3 linked regions of the Elephas maximus indicus genome follow. The protein of the gene in region 1 interacts with the protein of each later gene in a pairwise test. Links are inferred from orthologs where the notes say so. Each region holds a gene or a part of one and is shown in the gene's direction. Other genes may lie near its edges.

Evidence for each region. The genes of interacting proteins can lie anywhere in the genome.
Region 2: the proteins of VPS52 (region 1) and C3H1orf109 interact in binary tests that used the Homo sapiens proteins (3 or more experiments, as listed by UniProt). The two-hybrid records come from large-scale screens. The link is inferred for Elephas maximus indicus from reciprocal best matches to the Homo sapiens genes VPS52 and AIRIM.
Region 3: the proteins of VPS52 (region 1) and TBC1D22B interact in binary tests that used the Homo sapiens proteins (3 or more experiments, as listed by UniProt). The link is inferred for Elephas maximus indicus from reciprocal best matches to the Homo sapiens genes VPS52 and TBC1D22B.

What each region holds. Positions count from the first base shown.
Region 1 is NC_064819.1:96,065,594-96,072,593, reverse strand, and holds the start of VPS52 (vacuolar protein sorting-associated protein 52 homolog), read left to right. Parts: upstream 1-3,990; 5' UTR 3,991-4,249; coding exon 4,250-4,339; intron 4,340-4,458; exon of another isoform or gene 4,459-4,631; intron 4,632-5,120; coding exon 5,121-5,205; intron 5,206-5,368; coding exon 5,369-5,421; intron 5,422-5,602; coding exon 5,603-5,678; intron 5,679-5,863; coding exon 5,864-5,931; intron 5,932-6,238; coding exon 6,239-6,414; intron 6,415-6,778; coding exon 6,779-6,929; intron 6,930-7,000. Other genes in the region: RPS18 (40S ribosomal protein S18), read right to left, coding at 3,236-3,334, 3,833-3,835. UniProt on the Homo sapiens protein: Acts as a component of the GARP complex that is involved in retrograde transport from early and late endosomes to the trans-Golgi network (TGN).
Region 2 is NC_064821.1:79,284,627-79,292,358, reverse strand, and holds the start of C3H1orf109 (ribosome biogenesis protein C1orf109 homolog), read left to right. Parts: upstream 1-4,720; 5' UTR 4,721-4,986; exon of another isoform or gene 4,987-5,148; 5' UTR 5,149-5,151; coding exon 5,152-5,426; intron 5,427-7,732. Other genes in the region: CDCA8 (borealin), read right to left, coding at 1,356-1,396, 3,839-3,967, 4,107-4,203. UniProt on the Homo sapiens protein: Part of the 55LCC heterohexameric ATPase complex which is chromatin-associated and promotes replisome proteostasis to maintain replication fork progression and genome stability.
Region 3 is NC_064819.1:100,951,507-100,958,387, forward strand, and holds the start of TBC1D22B (TBC1 domain family member 22B), read left to right. Parts: upstream 1-3,869; 5' UTR 3,870-4,105; coding exon 4,106-4,161; intron 4,162-6,881. UniProt on the Homo sapiens protein: May act as a GTPase-activating protein for Rab family protein(s).

The sequences.
Region 1 (7,000 bases):
AAATTTTTCCATAACCATGCTCCTGAGAAGTTGCTGTCGAGCAAAGATCTTGAAGGCTCTGTTTACTGACTCTAGATGCTAGCCTGCCAAGAGGTTAGGTCCCCTTTTCTCTGCCCCAAGATCGCTGTTCTCTTCAGGCCTCCTCTATCCACAAAAGTACACTGCAGTGACCATCACTTTCTCCTAAGGGCCTGGACTATGTAACAGTTGATAGCCAACTTAATCATTACACTTACCCTCTTTAAGGACACAGCCAGCACTTGGATACAAAAAGGTGGTTTTCCAAGGACTCAAGTCTGAAATTATTTGATCAACTAATTTAGTAGTCCGTATTAACTTGGAAACCCTGGTGGCATAGTGGTTAAGTGCTACGACTGCTAACCAAACGGTTGGCAGTTCAAATCCACCACGCACTCCTTGGAAACTCAATGGGGCAGTTCTACTCTGTCCTATAGGGTCACTATGAGTCAGAATCGATTCAACAGCAGTGGGTTTGGTTTTTTGGTATTTAATTTAGAATCTATTTCTACACTGGACAGAAAAGTTGTTAGTGTGCCTCATACCTGCATTTAAAAATAAACACTGAAGACTCTGAAAGTGTTCCAGGACAACTGGCATCTTGGTGGGACAAGAGTTCCTTGTGAACAAGACCCATGGGGACCTTCAAGTCAACTCTAACCCCTCCAAGTTTCCAAATACTTCCTGGATGGCAGCTATAATCCTGATGTAGAAGAGGGCAGAACACTAGCCTTAAAAAATACAGCAAAAAACTGAAAGTGGCAACAAAACAATGAGGGGAAAAAATCACAGCACAGAAAAGCTTTGCAGGATACACGCATACGTGTATGTTTCACCAACTGCCACTGAGATGGCTCAGATCCATGGCCACCCCATGTGTCAAAGTAGAACCGTGTGCTATAGAGTTTTCAATGGCTGATTTTTCAGAAGTAGATCGCCAGGCCTTTCTTCTGATGATGCTGGCTGGGTGAACTTGAACCTCCAATCTTTCAGTAAGCAGCCAAGCCCTTAACCATTTGTACCACCCAGGAACTAAACCAAAACCAAAAACAGTGCTGTCAAGTCGATTCTGACTCATAGCAACCCTACAGAACAGAGTAGAACTGCCCCATAGTTTCCAAGGAGCACCTGGCGGATGTGAACTGCTGACCCTTTGGTTAGGAGCCGTAGCACTTAACCACTACGCCACCAGGGTTTCCTGCAGATCTATATTGTTAGCTGCTGTTAGCTGGCCCCCCAACTCATGGTGACTTCACACACAAAGGAATGAAATGTTGCCCAGTCCTGCACCCTCCCTGTGACTGGTTGTGGATTAGACCGTTGTGATCTACAGGGTATTCATTGGCAGAGCAGTGGAAAGTAGATCTCCAGGTCTGTCTTCCTAGTCCATCTTAGTCTGGAAGCTCCACTGAAGCATGCCTAGCATCACAGCAACATGCAGGCCTTCACTGACAGGCGAGGGGTGGTAGCTGCTCGAGGTGCACTGGCCAAGAATCAAACCCAGGTCTCCCATATGGAAGTCAAAATTTCTACTACTAAACCACCAAATGCCCCACAGTAGATCTGCTACCTGTCAGTATATACCCTTTTCTTATGTTAACTTTCATTCTTCACCATTCTGGGGCTAACCACGTTTTTGAGGAACCCCTCCCCATACTCAGCCTCCCTTTTTCCTCTTTAATCTTCTCCCAATTTCCTAGAATTACCCCCAATCCCTCGTTCTTAATAAAGGACCACCTCCAAGCTTTAGGTCTGTCACCAAGAGGTAGCTGCCTTTCCTGGCTCTCTGCTAACAAAAACTTCAGTACCCAGAGATCTCTAAGGAACAGCCCTTCCCAATGATAGCAGGGCACCAGGATCCCATCCCCCTGTGAGACTTCTCTTCACATGCTAAATATCTGAAAATGGCTGAACAATTGTCCATGAAATCTAATTCGACTACAAAGATTATGACACACATTTAACAAATCAACTGCAAAGATGCAGAGAGTGAAGAAGCACCCTACTAACCATGCTCCGCTTTTATATTCACAAACTCGCTTATGGCTCACAGCAAGGCTTTGCAGTAAGTATTCAATCTTTAGGGTATCTTACATTTTCAGAGAATATCAAACAGAAGCTTTAAGCTTCTTCTGTATTCAACTGAAGCAGCTCTGTTAAAAAAGAGTGGTTAAGCTGCTTGGCTGTGAAGCAAAAGGCTGGCAGTTTGACCCCACCAGCCACTCAGTGGGAAAAAAATGTGGCAGTTTGGTTCCTTAGACATTTACAGCCTTGGAAACCCTATGGATTGCTGAGTCGGGATAGACTTGAGGGCAGTGGGTCTGGTATTCAATTGAGAACAAGTAAAAGCTGCTCTCTGTATGAGAGTGAAAAAAAATCAAGGAAATTTGACAAACTCGATGGTCGTCAGGACCAGTCGGGACACCCCCTCTGTCACCGGAGGCGGGGGTAAGGTATCCCCAGTACCATCCATTCCCTAACACTGAATAAGCCTCAACAATACACCAGAAGTAGAGGACTGTAAACAAGACTGGCTTGGCCCTGTTCCCTCTGAGTTATGGGTACTGCAGGGCAAGAAACACATTCAGCTATTTGTACAAGTAATTATTCTATAAACGATAGAATGTCCCCAGCCAGAAGGCTGGATGAAAGTAGATATCCAAACCTGCATTTAATTCTTTCAACAAGCCCAAACCAAAATATACTGGGGTTCCCTTTTCAGCTGGAAAGAACACTGACTTTCACCTCCGACAACTGAGTAAATATCCTGCTCAGGACCTAGTGATGACCCTGTCCCATGGATATATTCTTTGACACTTGCAATCTGTTGGCACAGCTACTCATTCAAGATGTGTAAGAATTATAAGGTTTTCAGGGTGTATAAATTTAACAGGAAGGGCTGTTGTTATGATGTAGTGGAGACAGAAATCTCAAACTGAAGGTTCAGAAAACAGCTTTAAATAACTTTAGCAAATTCCGGTCGACAACCATACCCAGCCTTTTCACTCTAGTGAAACGTTTTGGCTTGACCTTAGACCCTTCTCTGGCTTTTATTACTCACCTTTTGTGGTAAATGTGGTTAAGGGATTAATCACTCCCCTTAGCTTTTTTTTTTTTTTAAACCCAGCAGCCAACGTGATCTGGTTGCCTACTCGACCTTGCTCATTTATAATTTAGCTCTTAACAACCCAAATCTCATTTATAATCTTTACTTTACCTTAATGGCAGTGATGGCAAAGGCTATCTTCCGCCGCCCATCGATGTTAGTGTTGAGTACTCGCAAAATGTGCTGGAACTTCTCGGGGATCACCAGAGACTGATTGAAAGAGATGGGGGGGGGGATCAGACACTGTGAACTACCGTCAAACCGTAAGACGAACGAACCACCTCAAACAGGAACGCTAAGTTTGTCACATAGGGAGCAATGACCCACTCCACGTTTTCACATCACCGCAAACTCCTCATTCCTGCAGACAGCAGAATCATGAACCGTTCAGGCCTAGGGATATGCAACTTCCGGAAAGGGGACAGGTCCCCTGCCGACTCCCAAAAGCATATTCTGCGTAGAAGCTGCCGGAGATCCCCGCACACGCCTAAACCTCTCCCCGCTTTCGTGCCTCCAGGGAGTGACCCTTTCCCGGGTCCCGTTTCCCGGAATTGGAAGTCTTTGGTCATCCATTCTCAGGGGTGTAATGCAAGGCTCCACACAGAAAGTTGCAGGCCCCTAGGATAGGGCGTTTTTGGCCCTCTGAAAGCAGACGTTCCCTGCCCCGGTTCCGATGCAGCCAGATCCCGACCCGGACTCTAGACTTACCATGGCGGCGGTAGCTTCGGCGGCGTGTAGGCCTCCGGTGGAAGAGAGAGCGGAAGTGACGCCAAATACTTATATAGCTCTCTGGTGGAAGGGGCGGAGCCATCTGGAAGAAGCGCTTCCTGAAACGGCTTCACCCCAAACTGACTAGACTTCTGAGGAGCTGACTTGGACGCCACAACTTCCGGTGGTGTCTGCTCTTTACTGTCCGTAAAGTTCATGGGTGTGGCAACAGCGAAGATTCCGGGACGAGGCTGTATGTGAGACTTCCGCACTCTCGTTTGTGCTTAGGTGAAGCGGTTACAATTGAAAGGAGTTAGACAGTTTAACTCATTTATCTGCGAACGGGTTTGCGTTGTGCAAGGCTCTCTGGAACGGACTTGCCCGGACTGACAGCTGCCGGAAGTGAGGCTGCGCCTAATGGCCGCAGTTGCGACCATGGCGGCAGCAGCTCGGGAGCTGGTGTTGCGAGCCGGCGCCTCGGATATGGAAGAGGAGGAGGGCCCGCTGGTGAGAGCGCCGGGCTGTTTTCCTCTCCGGAGCTCCATCCGGGCCTCCTAGCGTCAGGAAGTCCCGGGCTGGGTGTAGGCACAAAAGGGTGGGAGCTCGGCTGCTATCGGTAACGCTACCTGTTTGGCTTCCTGGGATCGGACCTGAACCTGAACGAAAACCAGAGTAGCCATGACTCAGTTTCCAGGGGCACAATTTCAACTCCTCCCGATTTGGGGCAGAACAGAGAAGCCTCTGGAGCCACACAGCCTGGGTTCGAATTCCAGCTCTGCCACCTACACACTGTCTTTGGGCAAGTTAACCAGCTTTTTCTATGAGATGACGAAAATAATAGTATCTGTCGTATTAGATTGTGAGGATTACGTGAATGAATATATGTAAAACGGTCCCTGACATGCACTTAAACAGTGTTTAAGTTTTAGCTGACTTTTCTAGAAAGGCTCGGACTCCCCAGAAAGATGGTGATACGACATGTGAAATAGCAGGAGTCTAGGACTCCTAAAGTCAGCTGCAAGATCTGCCCAATTTTTGCAGCTTCTCATCTTCCTCAGAGACCTCCTCCCTCTTCATGGATTACATGCTTCCTTTGCCATATGTCCTGTCCATAAATCCTAAATAGTAGGTGGGGTACAGAGTGAGACTCTCGGAGGTTTTTGACTCAGCACTTACTACTCCCCAGTAAAAGAACCTCTCTCCCACTTGGAAGATTGAGGACGTCCTATTGTATTTTGTTCTTTTCCTCCTCCTCGTACCCCTCTCTCGGTAATTTTTCCCTTCCCAGGGGAGTGGTACTGGGCTCCAGGAGCCACTGCAACTTGGGGAGTTGGACATCACTTCTGATGAATTCATCCTGGATGAAGTGGATGGTAAGTGATGGCATGGGGCCTCTGCAGAGCTGGAAGTTAGAGTGCCTGTAATCTAAGGTGCAGCAGGTGCCAGAAGGAGTAACACAGAGACTGGTGTGCAGATACTTAGTGTGGGGGGTGAGAGCTGTAGATCCGGGCTCTTATGATAACTTTCTATTTCCAGTTCACATTCAGGCAAATCTGGAGGATGAGTTAGTAAAGGAAGCTCTTAAAACGGTGAGGCTTTCCACTGTACTAATCTGCTCCCTCATCTCCCCTCCCCCCAAAGAAAAGAAAAACAGTCTTCTATTCTCATGACATGACCGTGGTGTCCCACTCTCTAGCCCTTTGTTGATTCTGTTCCAGTGATTCTTTGTTGCAACTTAGTCCTGACCTGTCACTTTATATGTCTTCCTAGGGTGTGGACCTCCGTCACTATTCAAAGCAGGTTGAGCTGGAGCTACAGCAGATTGAACAGAAGTCCATTCGAGATTGTATCCTCCACCAGAGGGCAGGAGTGGTGTTATTGACAGGGATTTTGTCGGGTATGGTGCAGGCAGCCCAGCTAGGGCTGAGATTTCCCTGAGGTTTCTGTCATCTCAGGGAGAAATCAGAGAGGTTCTGCAGGTCTGAGAATCTCCATATTCAGCATGAGGCCCCTTGACTTTTTGTGGGTCAGATATCCAAGAGAGCGAAAATATAGCATCTCTGCACAACCAGATCACAGCCTGTGATGCTGTCCTTGAGGTTAGTAACCATGGCCTGTGACCCATAACAAGCATGAACTGGTCCAAGACTTTTGGTGCCATTTTTAGTCATTGACCTTAGGTGGAAACAGGTTAGAGTCATTTTCAGGATGACCTCAGCATCCTTTTTCATGGTCATTTCCATAGCTGATATTCTTTCCGAACGGTGACCTTTGGGATACTTCTCCCCTCATCACCCCCCACCCTCACAAACTGATAGATACTAGAGATTTCACCAAGAGAATTAAATGGCCCACTTGTCCCCTACCAACCCTTTGGTGCTCCAGCAGCATTTACTCTCTCCCCAGCGCATGGAGCAGATGTTGGGAGCTTTCCAGAGTGACCTCAGCTCCATCAGCTCTGAGATCCGGACACTGCAGGAACAGTCAGGAGCTATGAACATTCGTCTTCGAAACCGCCAGGCAGTTCGGGGGAAACTTGGGGAGCTTGTTGATGGTCTGGTGGTGCCCTCTGCCCTGGTCACGTGAGTCGCCAGTCTGAAGGGTCACAACATCTATGGCAGCTAGAGACTTACCACATGGGTCTTCTGGGTCCTGGTCATCAAGCGCCTGCCAGAAGTTGGTGGTTGGATTGACAGTCTTTTCTCACTGCGATATGTGCTTTAGGCATCAAAGATTAGGAGTCATCTAGGGTCAGATGTGTAGTGAGGAGGTTCGAGGCTTACGTGGAGAGTCTAGAAGCAGAAAACTGTACATACAGCCTGACTGCATGTTACAGTGTAAGAAGGTACAGCAGGCAGAGGCTGGGTGTAAGGGGTGTGGTTTGGGCGTAGTCTAGGGATGCCTGGGTCTCCCACCTAACCCACCTTGCTCCTCCCTGCTACCCAGGGCAATTCTGGAGGCCCCGGTGACAGAGCCCAGGTTCCTGGAGCAGCTGCAGGAGCTGGATGCCAAGGCAGCTGCAGTCAGAGAGCAGGAGGCTAGGGGCACAGCGGCCTGTGCAGACGTCAGAGGCGTGCTTGACCGGCTCCGGGTCAAGGTGGGGAGTGGGGGTAGATACCCAGAAACTGCTAGAACCAGGCTCCCTAACACCTTCACCCTGGATTCCCT
Region 2 (7,732 bases), on another chromosome or scaffold:
CCTTGATATTATGCCAAATTGTTTTCTAAAGTGGTTGCACTTATTTACATACTGTTGGCAACCAATACAAGTTTCTAATGATCCGCATCCTCTCCAGCACTTGGTCCTGTGTCAGACTTCATGTTCTTTATGAGTCGAGAGGTCTCCATAACGGTTCTATCACACTCCTGGGTCCTTCAAAGGGCTTTCAGTGGCCATTCTAACTAAACTTGTTCACAGTGGTGGCTACCACCTCTATGTATGGGTATTGCCAGAAGCAGACATCAGAACAGGTGTTAGACTAGGAATGACACAGGTTTTCATCTCTGGCGTGGCAGGGACTACATGCACAGCTCTGAGGATTCTGAGGCCATGTGGGCTTAGCAAGAAACAGTGCTGTAATAGATTGTGATAGTTAAGGGAAGCCATGTGGGCTTAGCAAGAAACAGTGCTGTAATAGATTGTGATTGTTAAGGGAAGCGAGAGAGGTGGTATCCCTGCCAAATTTCTGCTGTCTCTATAAACAACTGACATGCAATGAAGGTATCACTGGTGGCAGGCCACCAATCACTCACAGTGCCTAAATGAGTGAACACAGCAGACCTGAGACCACTATGCTTAGAAAGGTCTGCTTGCAAAGATGGCCCTTGGCTGGCATCTGGGAACTTGAATTTTGGGAGGGTTCTCAACATTCCCTAATGATAACGGGTCATTGTACCCAAACTCTTTGTACAGACAACATGGCTTATCCTGAGCACCTGCTTTCCTTCTAGGAGTCTAGAATTTTGGTACACGCTAGCCAGAGGGTGCCTATGTGACCAGTCCTTGATAAAAACCCTGGTCGTTAAGTCTCTAAAGAGATTCCCTGGTAGAAAGCATTTCACATGTGTTGCTACAACTTGTTATTAGAGAAACTAAATGTGTCCTGTGTGACTCCACTGGGAGAGGACTCTAGAAAGCTTGCACCTGATTTCCTCTAGACTCTGCCACATGTACCTTTTCCCTTTGCTGATTTTACTTTGTGTCATTTCGCTGTAACAGATCATAGCCCTAAGTATGACTATATGCTGAGCCCTGTAAATCCCAATAAATCACCAGACCTGAGGGTAGTCTTGGGACTCCTGACACACCTACCAATTAAGAGCTTCCATACCCAAGTCTCATCCTTCCCCTGGGTTTTAAGACTAGACTTCTCTCAACCTGGTGTAATAACATTGGCTATATTATATCAGAAGCTCTGATTTGTAGTTTTGTGTCACGACATGAGCAGATCATGTTCCCTATGGAACCTCTTCCACAGTAACCACTCACTGGTTGGATTCTGTGACTGGACTAAAGAACTAACCAACAGTTCAAAAACAGGACAGATCACTTACTGTTGCTGCCTCTTCCAGGGCCTGCTTGTTTCCTCCAAGGGCTTTAAAAAGAACATGTTATTTAGTTATTACAGATTTTGACAATAACTCATCTTCCCTACACTATCAGTTATCTGTCTAAAACTGGACCAGATTAAACCCTTGGTCCAACATTCCAGGGCCTTCACAATCTAGTCTTTCTCCAGCCTTGACTCTTACGCATGACCTACTCTATGTTCCACCACACCAAACTTCTCACCTTTCCCCAGATGTGCCCCCGCCTTTCAGGACTAAGTGCCCTAATACTTATTATCTCTGCCTGGAATACTTCTCTGCATTCAATAAACTCCTAATTCATCCTTCAAAACTCTTCTCAAAAGCCACCTCCTCAACAATGGGCCCTGCTATGTATCAAGCATTCCACTCACCACGTCTCAACCCTCACAACCCTTACTCTACAGATAGGGAAACCAAGACCAGAGAGATTAACATGATTGAGTAACTTGAGGAAGATCACACAGCTGGAATATGAAAGAGCTAGAATTTGAACTCAGGTTTGCCTTGACCCCCAAACTGTTTATTTTTCCCTCACAGTAGGTTGCTGCAAAGTACTGAGTTAGTTACTCACCCTCTTCCTACCCTACAACTACTCAGAGCTGTTTAAGTGTCCACCCTTGCCTTCGCTGTGAATTCCTTGAGAATAACAATAATATCCATAGCTTCTGGCAAAAATCTGGCATCTGGTAGTTGGGTAGTAAGTGTTTGTTGAATGAAGAGGTCTTTGAAAGATTCAGATGTAGAATTAAAGTTAGGTGAGGTTCTCACGCTAGAAACTCTCACAGTATTCTGTATAACAGCCAGGAACTGTGGCTTTGGAAACAGAATTTTATCTGGGTTCAAATAGACTTTGCCACTAATTAGCTTATGAGACCTTGAGCAAAGTAACTACCTTCTCTGTGCCTTAATCTTGTCATCTATAAAATAGAGATAATATTGACAATAAGCTTGTTATGGGGATAAAATTAATTAACATATGTAAAGCATACAAAGCACTACATAAATGAGCTTACTGGTGGCTACTCTGCTCTTATAGCACTTATAACTAAGTATAAAATCATGTGTAAAGTTTTTAATCACCCTTCTACACTAACCTGTAAGTTCCTGAGGCACAATGTCTGAATTTGTCAATGCATCTTCAGCACCTAGCATTGTGACTGACAAATGATCAATGAACACTTGTAGAAACGAGCAAATGAATGAATGAATAAATAAAAGGGCAACTTTGAAAAGATTATTCAATGTCTGCTATTGTAACAGAGGAATCCTTGGGTAGTGCAAACAGTTAATGTGCTTGGCTGCTAACCAAAAGGTTGGAAGTTTGAGTTCACCCAAAGGTGCCTTGGAAGAAAGGCCTGGTGATCTAATTCCAAAAAAAACAACAACAACAACTGAAAACTCTACAAAGCACAGTTCTACTCTGACACCTGTGGGGTTACCATGAGTCAGTACTGACTTGATGGCAACTGGCTACTGTAAACAGAACATGCCTTTCTATCCAGGAAGGAGGCTATAGCCTGGGTAACTAATAAAAGAAAGTGGAAAAGTTGGTTAATGCAGCAGAAAGGGTGCCTACCTGCATTTCCTTGAATCTTTAACAAGGTGGCGGGAGAACAGACTAGGATTTTTCTTTCTCTGGCCAGGAAAACTCTTGTATCTTTACACATCACAATTTGATTTGCCCATTTTCAAACAGGCAATTTTTATAAGCTGCAGAAAAAACTCCCTAGGGCTCACCCTTCCATCTGAGCTCTGGTAACAAACCAAGCTGTTCATGCATTCATTTAATAAAGTTTACTGAGTACTTAGTACCTATCAGATACCTTTCTGGCTACAGATAAATTTCCTGCCCTGTCATTGTGCAGCTTACAATCTTGGTTGTGGATAAAAGGATATGTAATCAACAAAATAGGTAAAATATGTATTAGATTAGATCCGGAATCAGCAAACTGTTCCCACCTGCTTTGGTATGGTCTGTGAGCTCAGAACGTTTTTTTTACATTTTTAAGCAGTTGGAAATAGTACCAAAGGAGTATTTCGTGACATGTGAAGTTCAAGTTTTGTGTCCATAAATGAAGTTTTACTGGAATACAGCCATGCCCATTTGTTATAGCTGTTTTGGAGCTATAAGAGCAGAGTTGAGTAGTTATAAGAGAAACCCTCTGACCCGTAAAACCTAAAATATTTACTACCTAGGCCTTTATAGACAAAGTTAGCCTACCCAGCATTACCCAGAAAAAAACCCCAGCATCAGATGATGATAAATGCTATGGAAGAGGATAAACCAAGGAGAGGAGATGGAAGTGGGGCGGCAATTTTCAACAGTGGTCATGGAAGACCTCACTAAAAAGGTGACATCTGAGCAGGTTCCTTCTGAAGGCAGTGTGCAGTCTGTACCACCGAGGGGTCCCAGACCGAGGCCTGCGGGAAACTCTAGCAGCACCTACCGAAGTAGTCGAGCCAGTTCATCTCGCGCAGTGCCTTGGGGAGCCGCAGGATCTCGATGTTGTACAGGTTATCCATCTCCTTGAGGAGGTTCTGCCTGTCTGACTGAATTTGCTTGTATCGGATTTGCACTGTGAAAAGGCAGAGCCGACAGGACGCGGGTCACCCGGCGGATGCATGAGGCTTAGAATCCGTGCTCTCTGCGTCTCAACCCGCCGGGACCCAGCGATGGTTCCAGGTAGGTGCCACGACCCGGGCCCCGCCCCTTACCTTCACGGTCGAAGTCCTTGAGAAAGGAGGCGAGCTTCCGGCTCCGCAACGAATTGGTCTTAGTCGACCGACTGCTGCCCTTCCTAGCCGGAGCCATGGTGCTTCGGTGGAGGCTGTGGGGACGGGGGAGACCGAATGACAAAGGGTCAGGGAGGAAGGGAAACTAAGGAAACCGCAAAGGAATAGGGGAAGGTGGACAAGGACCCAGAAGGGCCAGTAGGGAACTCCCCTCCTTCAGGGTCTGGGCATAAAGAAGGCGCGAGTCACATACCTGCAGGTCCCAAAACAAGAGCGAGGAAAAACCTCTCCGCTCCACCAGCGAGGAAATCTGCTCTGGGGCTAACCGGACATGCGACCGCCGCCACCAAATTCAAACTTAACTGCTCCAGGCTGGCGAATGAGAAGTCGCCGTCTTAAAAAGGTCCCACAACATCCAATCATTAGGAAGCACTACAATCAAGCAGCCAGTCCACACGTAGAACTACAACACCCAGAAGTCATTGCGGCTGAATGACGTATTTCCTCAGCGCAGGGGCCGCCTTGGCCTGAGGTTGCGCTTTACGAGCGGGTGGGCGGGGTGGGGACGAGGAATCGCTTTTGGGCATGCGCACAGAGATCCGCGTGTCATCGATGTTTCGTTGCGGTGACGGTAAATTTGACCTCTGATTTAGGGAAAGCGGTGAGCAGCCTCAAGAAGCAGAGACAGGATTCCGGCTCCAGTAGCACGAGTCTGGAGAGCGAGACAGAGCCTCGGCCCCGGGAATCCGCAGTCTGAAATAGGAGACCGCCCTATCCCTGGAGAAACCTCCTCTGAGGAACAGTCGGAAACGCTTCCTGAGGTGGGCCACAGGGGGCTTCCTTCAGAGAGCCGCTTCCGGAGGTAAGACGACACCTCGCGACAGGAACTCCTGCCTGAAGGAATGGACAGCCTTACCTGAGGAAGCGGGCTTGAGGGCGGAGGCTGAGAACGTGTCCTGACACGAGGACGGACGTAACTCCCGACCGACCTGGGACCTAACGCTGCTTCTGTTGGTTTGCACAGACGATGACTCAGGACCGGCCTTTGCTTGCGGTGCGGGAGGCCCTGCGGCAGTGCTTCCCCGCGGTGGAGGAGCAGCAGGGCCTGTGGCGGAGCACGCTGAGCGACTGCCAGCCCCTCGTGGCCTCCCTCAGCAACCTGGCCGAGCAGCTGCAGGCGGCCCGGAACGTGCGGTTTGACGACGTGCCGCCACTTCGCGCCTTCCCAGACCTAGAGGAGCAGCTGAGGCGCAAGCAGCTGGCTGCCGGTGACACCGTCCTGGACAAGCTAGGGGAGAGGCTGTAAGGAGCTCGGTAGATTTTAAAACTGGGTGTTTCATAAGAGATGAATCTGTTAGAAGGATGACTCTGTCAGAAGGGTGTTTTTCTCTTGCGAGCACGGCACTTGGAGGTGTCTCAGCCTTCCCCCCTTTCCCTCTGTTGCAGTGGGACCTCTGTCAAAAAGCCATTTTCTGATATTTCTCGGCAGAGGCTAGGCCTGACAGTGGTGAGCTTAGTAGAGGTACAAAATCTGAACAGAAAAAGAGCGGAGGAAGCTTGTTAGCACTTTGTATTTTCCTTTCTTTCTTTTTTTATTCGGTAAAAAGCTTGTTGTGTGCCATCGAGTTGATTTTGCCTCCTAGTGAGCCCATGTGACAGAGTAGGACTGCCCCATAGGGTTTTCTAGGCTGTAATCTTTATAGGAGCAGATCACCAGAAGCAGATCACCAGGTCTTATCACCAGGTCTTTCTCCTGTAGAGCTGCTGGGTGGATTTGAACTGCCAGCTTTCGATTAGCAAATGAGCGATACCTGTTGCACCACCAGGGCTTCTTATGGGAAAAAGCTACAAAGAGCTGTATTCTAAACTTAGTAGGTGTCAGAGCTAAGGGTTTTACATACATTACCTCATAAAACCTTTTTAACACCTCTGTGGCTTAACCTCAGTCAATCCCATTTGGTAAGTGCAGAAACTGAGGCTCAAGCAAATTGCCCATAGTCACAACTAGTAAACGGAAAAGCTGGGATTCTAATCCCAGTCTGCCTGACCCCAAGGCCAGAGCCTTCAGCCACCACTTTGTTCTGCTATGCACTGGTCTCTCTGTGCCCAGGAGTAGCATGTCTCCAAGTTCTGATCTATGCTAATTGTTAGACCTTCTGTCTCAGAGTTACAGACTGTTGAGGACAGGAGAAACAAGGCACATGTGGCCATTCCTTGAAGGTTCCAGTGTACAGAGTTTATGCCGTGGACTAATAGGAAACCATCAAATTGGGGACCATCATTTGTTCAAAGTACACATATCGAGCACCTATGGGATGCCAGGCATAAGGTGCTGGGAACATATCAATGAACCAGACTCAATTCTAGTTTCTAGGAGTTCTCAGCCCAGTAGAACAGATAGACAATCAGTCGATTAAATTATGGTATGTCCTAAGATAGTGGGGAAACCCTGGTGGTGTAGTGGTTAAGTACTACGGCTGCTAACCAAAGGGTTGGCGGTTCAAATCCACCAGGAGCTCCTTGGAAACTCTATGGGGCAGTTCTGCAGGGTCGCTATGAGTCAGTATCAACTCGATGGCACTGGGTTTTGTTTGGGTTTAAGATAGTGGTAAGTACTGGGAGTTACAGAAGCATAGAGGTACATGTTTAACCCAAACTGTGAGGAGAGGAGGAGCTTCTGGGAGGAAGTGATGCCCGAGACCTGAAGGATGAGTGGGTGTTAATGGATCAGGACGTGGATATGGGTATTGTTGCAAAGACAATGGCTGGCATAGAAGGGGCGGTAAGAGATGAGAGGTAAACCAGCTCATGAAGGTATGTGTAAGCTGTCGAGGACCATATGGTTCTAGATATTTCTTTTGCTTCTGGATTGAGGGTACTTTGATGAGGGGTAAGGGCAGAAATCCCCAGGAACCTCTTGCTTGGTCATAGACACATCTCTATATGGGTCAGCTCCTTAATCAGTAGTAGCTGTTAAAGAGCTCCCTGGGAATCAGAATTATTCGTAATAGCCAAAAAGTAAAAACAACCCCCAAAATGTTCATCAGCTGATAAATGGATAAACAAAATGTGATATACCCATATAATGGAATATTATTCAGCAAATAAAAAGAAACAAAATGCTGATACTTGCTACGATACGTATGAACCTTTAAAACGATATGCTAAGGGAACGAAGCCAGACACAAAAGGCCACATTATTGTATGATTCCATTTTTGTGAAATGTTCGGAATAGGCAAATCCATTGAGACAGACAGTAGATCAGTGATTGCTAAGGGTTGGACGAAGGAGTAGTGGAGAGTGACTTCTAATGGGTATGGGGTTTCTTTTTGGGGTGATGAAAATGTTCTAAGATAGAGGCGATGTGTGCACAACTCTGAATATACTAAAAACCATAGAAATTTACATTTTAAAAGGGTAAATCTTATGGTATGTGAATTTTATTTCAATTCTTTTTATTTTGTTGTTGAGAATATACACAGTAAAACATATACCACTTAAACCATTTCTACATGTACAATTCAGTGACATTAATTACATTCTTTGAATTGTACAACCATCCTCACCCTCCTTTTCTGAGTTATTCCTCCCCATTATTAACATAAAC
Region 3 (6,881 bases), about 4.9 Mb from region 1:
AGGCAGCATTTTGTCCTATTGTGCGTGGGGTTGCCATGAGTTGGGGGCCAATTTTACGGCAGCTAACAACAACAAAAGTTGTTTTACTCCCTTTATAAATGAAGATGAAGTTAAGGAGGGGAAAGGTGAAAACCTGCAGGCAGACAACATTGAGAGTCCTTTACGTATAGCTTCAAAATAATCAAACCTCTGGGATAAATTCATCACGGAGCCATACAGTGCTATTAACAGATGTACAGCATTGGTGTCACCTGGGAGCTTGTTAGAAATGCAGGATTATAGGCTCCACCCCAATTTACTGAATCAGAATCTAGGCTTTTAACAAGCTCCCTAGGTGATGCATATGTACGTTAACAGATGAGAAACACTGGTCTAGTGGACCAGTCTGTGCCTGCCACTATGGACCTCCATCAAAAGGGCTCTAAGGACCCCATGGGAACCTCAAACTAGTGATTTTTACCTCTAGTTAGGCAAAACTTGATGTGAGGGTGATCTGGCTGCCACAGTTATCTCCCCTTTGATGGGCAGGGTCGATTTGATTAATCTCCTGGTTAGGTGTGTGGCCTCTCTCCCTCATCACTCTAGGTACAGAGACATTTCTCAGAAGCTGCAAAAGGGTTTGAAAATGACACTTTTTCCTAAGTGTGTAAGACTGTTCTTCAAAAAAGGGTATGGGCGAGCTTATAGAATCTTTGGTAAATGGACACATCCTACTAGGAGTTAGGAAACATGGTTTTCATAATCACTCCCAACCAGAAATGTATATGAACAACATAGAAGACATGAATTGTTTACACTCTCTGTTTTCTAGCTCAATAGATATTTATTAAGCACCCACTATGTGCCAAACAAGGAGATCTGGTAGCATAAATGGTCAAGAGCTCGGCTGCTAACCAAAAGGTTGGTAGTCTGAATCCACCCGGTGGTTCTGTGGGAGAAAGACCTGGCAATCTGCTTGCCTAAAGACTGCAGCCAAGAAAACCCTGTGGAGCAGTTCTACTCTGTAGCACACGGCGTTGCCATAATTCAGAATCTACTCAACAGCAATGAGTTTGGTTTGGATGTGCTAAATACTAATCTATGTGATGAGAATATAGTAGAGAACAAAACCAAGTCCCTGCCTGGGGAGGGTGGAGTTTGCTTTTCGTGGGTGGAGACAGACAAAAAACAAGTACATGATATGGCAGATAGTAAAAAAAAAAGCACTATTTAAAAAAAAAAAAAAACTGAGTAGGTGGAGCCTACTATTTAAGATGGGTGATCAGGGAAGTCTTCTCCAAGGTGAAGACATTTGGGAATACACAGGAATGGAATGAGGGACCAAGCCATTCAGATATCTGGGAAAAGAGAATTCCAAGCAGAGGAAACAGCTAATGCAAAGGCCTTGAAGTAGGCAGTGTTCAAGGGACAGCAAAAATGCCAGTGTGATTAGAACAGATTAAGCAGGGAGGAGAGTTGAATGAGATGAGATTGGAGGTGGGTGGCACCACATCATGTAGTGCATTTAAGGAATTTGGATTTAATACCAACGGTGATGGGAGCCATTACTAGGTTTTGAGCAGAGGAGTGACATGATCTGACCCGTATTTTAAGAGGTTTTCTTTGGGTGCTATGTGGAGGATAAACTACAGTAGAAGCAGGCAGCCTAATAGGAAGCTGCTATAAAGGTTCAAGCAAAGATGTGGTTGGTTTAGGTTTGAGTGGTCGTGGCGGTGGTGGTGAGAAAGGGTCCAGGGATTCTTGACCTTCCTACCAAAGACTATTTAAAAATTTATGCACCAGGATGCTGGGGTGGATTTTTCTTGTCTTGTATTTGAAACTGTCTTAGATGTAGAAGACAATGAATAGAAATAATAAGGGCTTCTCTGGGTTCAACAATGTTAACAGCATCCCCTGAGAATCAGTGTTATGTAACATTTCATAAACGATTAAGAAAAAGGAATACTTTAAGACATGTCTAGGTATACAAATTATACTCTGCTTTCCACATAGCGAAATATCAGGTCAATAGGGAGCTTCTTCTGGAACATTTCTAAAGCCATGTGAGTAGGCTGGAAAGAGGCAGGTGTCTTACCCTGTGGACAAGTGTAAGGGGGCTCACGTAGGGAAAGACAATGCAGATGATATCTTTAAGAGAATGAAATCTGAACTGTCAGTTACCACCAAGGAAAGCAATCTAGAAGTCTCTGTAGATCATTCCTTCAAGACATCAGCTCTTCTAAAGTCTGAAAGACCAGCAAAAGTTCTGGATGTCCAGAGTAAAGGAAAACATCAGCATCAACAAAAGCTCAGGACACACATCTCTGGGCTCAGTGTGCAGTGCTGCTCGCCGCATCCAAAGAAAGAAAAGAGCCCTAGAAAGGCAGCTAAAATGATAAAAAAAAAAAAAAAAGAGGGCCTTTTGTGTGATGAATTAAAAGCCCATAAAGGTGACTATCTGAGAGAAGATAAGATGAAAGTCTGTAAAAGGACCAAAGATTTGGAGAGGGTAAAAATAGCTCCTTTCATACAAGAATCCCTTAATTCTGGAATTAAGAGACAAAAGAAGCTTGAAAATGGGGGTAATGTACTTCTTTGGGGAGGGGGAAGGTCTTTAAGTAAGTTCCAACATGTGCTAGGACATGTAGTAGCAGTAAAATATGGGTGGGGAAGGGACAACCGGTTTGCCTCAAAAGTCTCTACTTTCAAAGAGGCAAAGAACATCTTTGTTGGGGCAAAAACTACTTCTCACTCCCACCCTCTGTAAATCACCATGGTATACAACCACAGAAACTTAAAAAGAGCAAAATATCAAAAAGGCATTTAAAGGATTTAAAAAGCTAATTTTAAATCTCATTCTGAGCCAAAATTAGATTGACAATGAATTTAAGGGTGAAAGATTTACACTAGATTAGTAAGTGAAATCGAAACCCTGGTGGCAGAGTGGTTAAGAGCTTGGCTGCTAACCACACGGTGAGTAGTTTGAATCCACCACCCGCTCCTTGGAAACCTTATGGGGAAGTTCCACTCCGTCCTATAGGGTCTCTGTGATTCGGAATGGACAACGGTTTTTAACCGGTAATAAGAGAAATTAAGTGGGGGAGGGGGAGAGGTACATCCTTAATCTTTGTGATTCACACCGTGGAGAGCTACTATGTTTTAGCAAGAAATAAGACCTGGTAGTTTGAACTGAAGAGCCCTGGTGGCGCCGTGGTTAAGACCTTGGCTGCTAACCTAAAGGTCAGCTGTTGGAACCCACCTGCCACTCTGAACGAGAAGGATGTGGCAGTCCTTCCTTAAAGATTTACAGCCTTAGAAACCCTATGGCTCAGTTCTAGTCTGTCCCATACACTGTTTGTCAGCATCTGGGTTCTTATAGTAAGTTATTGATTGAAACAGGGATTATTAGGTCATTTGAATTTCACCCACAGCACAAGTATTCAATTAACAGAGGCCGGGGATACTCCGTGCAGAACCAGCCGTTACTCACAAGTTGGACAGTTAGCAGCTCTAGGCTATAGAATCTGTATCATCCTCCTTCACAGATTAAAAAAAAAAAAAAGCAGAGCCCAAACCCAACAAGGAAGGGGGAAGGGAATTTGACAGGTGTTTAAAGACGGGCAGCAACCAATACATAGGGCCTTACTTTCAGGTTACAGATTTATGTATACATTATCAAGCTCTCTCTTTCCAAGAAATATTAGATTCAGGATCCCAAGAGGCTTCATCCCCCAAAGAAAAGGGAACCCTTTCTTCCTTCCAATAGGTCCCTTTCTTTACCTGCTTCTCCTGAGGGGTAGGAACTTTCAGCTCCGCCTCCGTGCTCGTCCAAGCTCCGCCTTCCCGGTCCACCTGTGTGCCCGGTCCCTGACGTTGACGTTCGGCTTCAGCAGCTTGCAGGATTTTGGCTTTCGATTGGTTCTCCCGTTTACAGCCTGCATAGCCCACCAATGGCAGCGGCGCTGGGTAAGGGGTTGCCCACTTCCAAGATGGCGCCCCCAAGAGCTGGGAGCGGGTGACCCGCGGCAGGGAAGCGGCCTGGGTTGGCCCTCCGGTTGCGGGGTCCTGGGGGCGTCTCGCCGGCTCCCCCACGGCCCGCCTACAACGCTTTCCCCGGGCCAGAGCAATGGCCTCCGAGAACAGCAAGCAGTTTTGGAAAAGGAACGCCAAGCTGCCGGGGAGGTGAGCCCAGGACGCTGACAGGGAGAGAGGACTGGACCAAACTCCTCCAGATCCTACGGTCTAAATCCCGCGGGCCTGGGGCGTCGCAGATTCCGGATGGCTGGTTTGGAGAATCCCGGTGGGGGAGCGGGGACCGCCTGTGGCTGCAGGGCAGCTGTCAGGAAGAGGAACGGGCGGCAAGCTTTGGGGGACAGCTGTGTGTGGGAGCAGAGCAGAATCTGGGGTCGGAGGTCTCTGGAGAGGCTGTCCTCAGTCAGGAGGTGGCCAGAGACCGGACCTAAGGGGCAGTGGAGTTGGGTGAGTAGCCAGAGTCCGTTCTGGGCTCGGAGGGTTGCTTCTCACTTTAAACAAAACTCCCTCTCGGGGGTCTCCACACAGGTGGTTGCTTGCACGAGGACGGCCCCTTTCCTGGGATAACCCTCAGTTTGACACATACGAATCTTTCACTTGGGTTCTCCAAAGATTCTGTTGGCGCCGCCTTCGGGGGCAAAATTCTCCAACCAGATCTTACTTTATCTTGAGTTGGCCCTTTCCCATTAGGAATTATTACAAGGTGACCCCAAAATCGGGACTATTTCTTTAGAATTTCCCAAGGATTTGGCCAGCCCTAGAGATCTCATCCTCTCCTGTGCTGTAATGCTTGCTTGTACAAATGTACCAAATCCTGTCAATTTCAGTTGCTTAGTTGAAGAGCAGACCTTCTAAGCTACTTTTTTTTTTTTTTTTGGTGTATGTTGAGGCTTTTAGCAATTGCCCATCTATCATCCTGCTGTTGGTTTACAGTCTCAATTTGTTTTGGGCACAGTTCTGAAAGTATAAGGAGGAATGTGTTTTAGTTGTGCATTTAGGATTTCTGCCAGCCACCGTCTGCCTGGTGATGAAATTCATGTTTGGTTGTGCCCACGTGCCACCTTTCCTAGTTGATTTAGCCGTTTCCCTCTGGGATAATCCTTTGAAATTGTGACTTTTAGCAAGAGAGAAATGAAGGTCAGTGGTACCTATATATAAAAAATTTTTTTTTTTTTTATGTATAGCGGACCTATTTTATATAGGATCTTAATAGACCTATGGAGAATAATGCGGGAGCCAGCTTTTTAGTAATACAGTATTAAAATAATACAAGGGAATGCAAAGATAGGTTCAGATTAAAGTGCTGTGGAATTACAGTGTTAATGCTAAAGACCTTTGATGTTTTTAGATTAGCACCACTTCCTGCCAACTGATTCCCTTTTCCTTCCCTGTCTAGTCGTGAGCTCTCCAGCTGTGCCAACTGCCAGTTGTTTGGGGGTTTTCCATAGTGAGATCATTACATTTTGACATCCTAAAATAATAATTAGAATCCATGGGAAAACTGTTAAATCAGGAAGGAATATATGAGATGTGGGACATGGCATGGTTCTTTTGTGCCTACTGACTACTGGTTACTTTTGATGATCTTTTGTTTTCCATGTTTTCTTTACTGGACTCTAGGAACAGTCAACTTTTTGAAAGCACTACTTTTGTGAGATAGGAAGAAGAGTCTTCTTTCAGTTTTTTCAAGTTTCTGGCTTCCCTTTTTGTTTCGGAGAGGAATATGGAGGCATAGAGGAAAGAACATTTAACTGCAAAAAGACCTGGGCTATTGTTTGGGCTCTCTTACTTACCTTTGGGACCAAGGACAAATAATCTATTTAATCTCTCTAGGCCTCAGTTTACTGAGATATCTGTTATCTATGAGATTCAGATAAAAATAGCTTCTTAAGGATTATCATGAGGACTCAATGAAATAGTCTATTTGTAAAGAACCTAGATCAATGTTTATTTAGCACATTATAGTTGTTCAGTAATAGTAATTATTAATATTACTGTTACTAGAGCAAGTAAACATTTAAAATAATATTTCTCACACTAGGTAAATACTAGTTTGTCTTCATTGTTTATTCTTAAGGCATTAAAACGTTGCCACAATTCACGATAGTTTTTGCTACCTCGAATGTTGAAGAGAAACATTGTTCAGCACTGTGATTTTAGCAGGGAAGCCTCAAGAGCCCCTGGTTATGGGAGAAAATTAAGGCTTTTTTAGGAAAGGTGCTTTGTCTTAAGTAAAAATGTTAGGGCATTTTCTCAAGAATAGATTTTTGCACTTGTACTGTTTTGGCCGTAGTGAAGACCAACTTTCTCCTAGGTGGGAAACAGCACAAATGACCGGGTAGTAGTCCGTGCAACCTAGAAGTGAACCGGTTTATTCTTATTTGCAAATTGAAAGTTACAAAATCAAAGTGATGGCAGCTTACTTTCAGTTTCCTGCATCATGACCCAGAGACCTTAATGACAACAAATAGGAATTTTATTTCATAAAAATAACCTAAGTTCAAAATGAATTAAGACCCTTAAAAAAAAAAAAGCTTTATTGAGATAAAATTCACATTTCATAGAATTCACCCTTTTAAAATGTATAATCCAGTGGGGTTTTTTTGTTTTTTGGGGGGCTTTTTTTAGTGTATTCAGAGTTGTGCAGCCGTCGCCACTAACTTCGAACATTTTCATCACCCCAAAAAGAAACCCCAAACTCGTTAGCAGTCTGTCCCCATTCTCTCCTCCCTCCAGCCCATGGTAACCACTAATCTACTTTCTGTTTCTATAAATTTGCCTATTCTGTACATTTCATAGAAATGGGATCTATATAATATGTGGCCTTTTGTGACCGGTTTCTTTTATTAACATAATGTTTTCAAGACTCA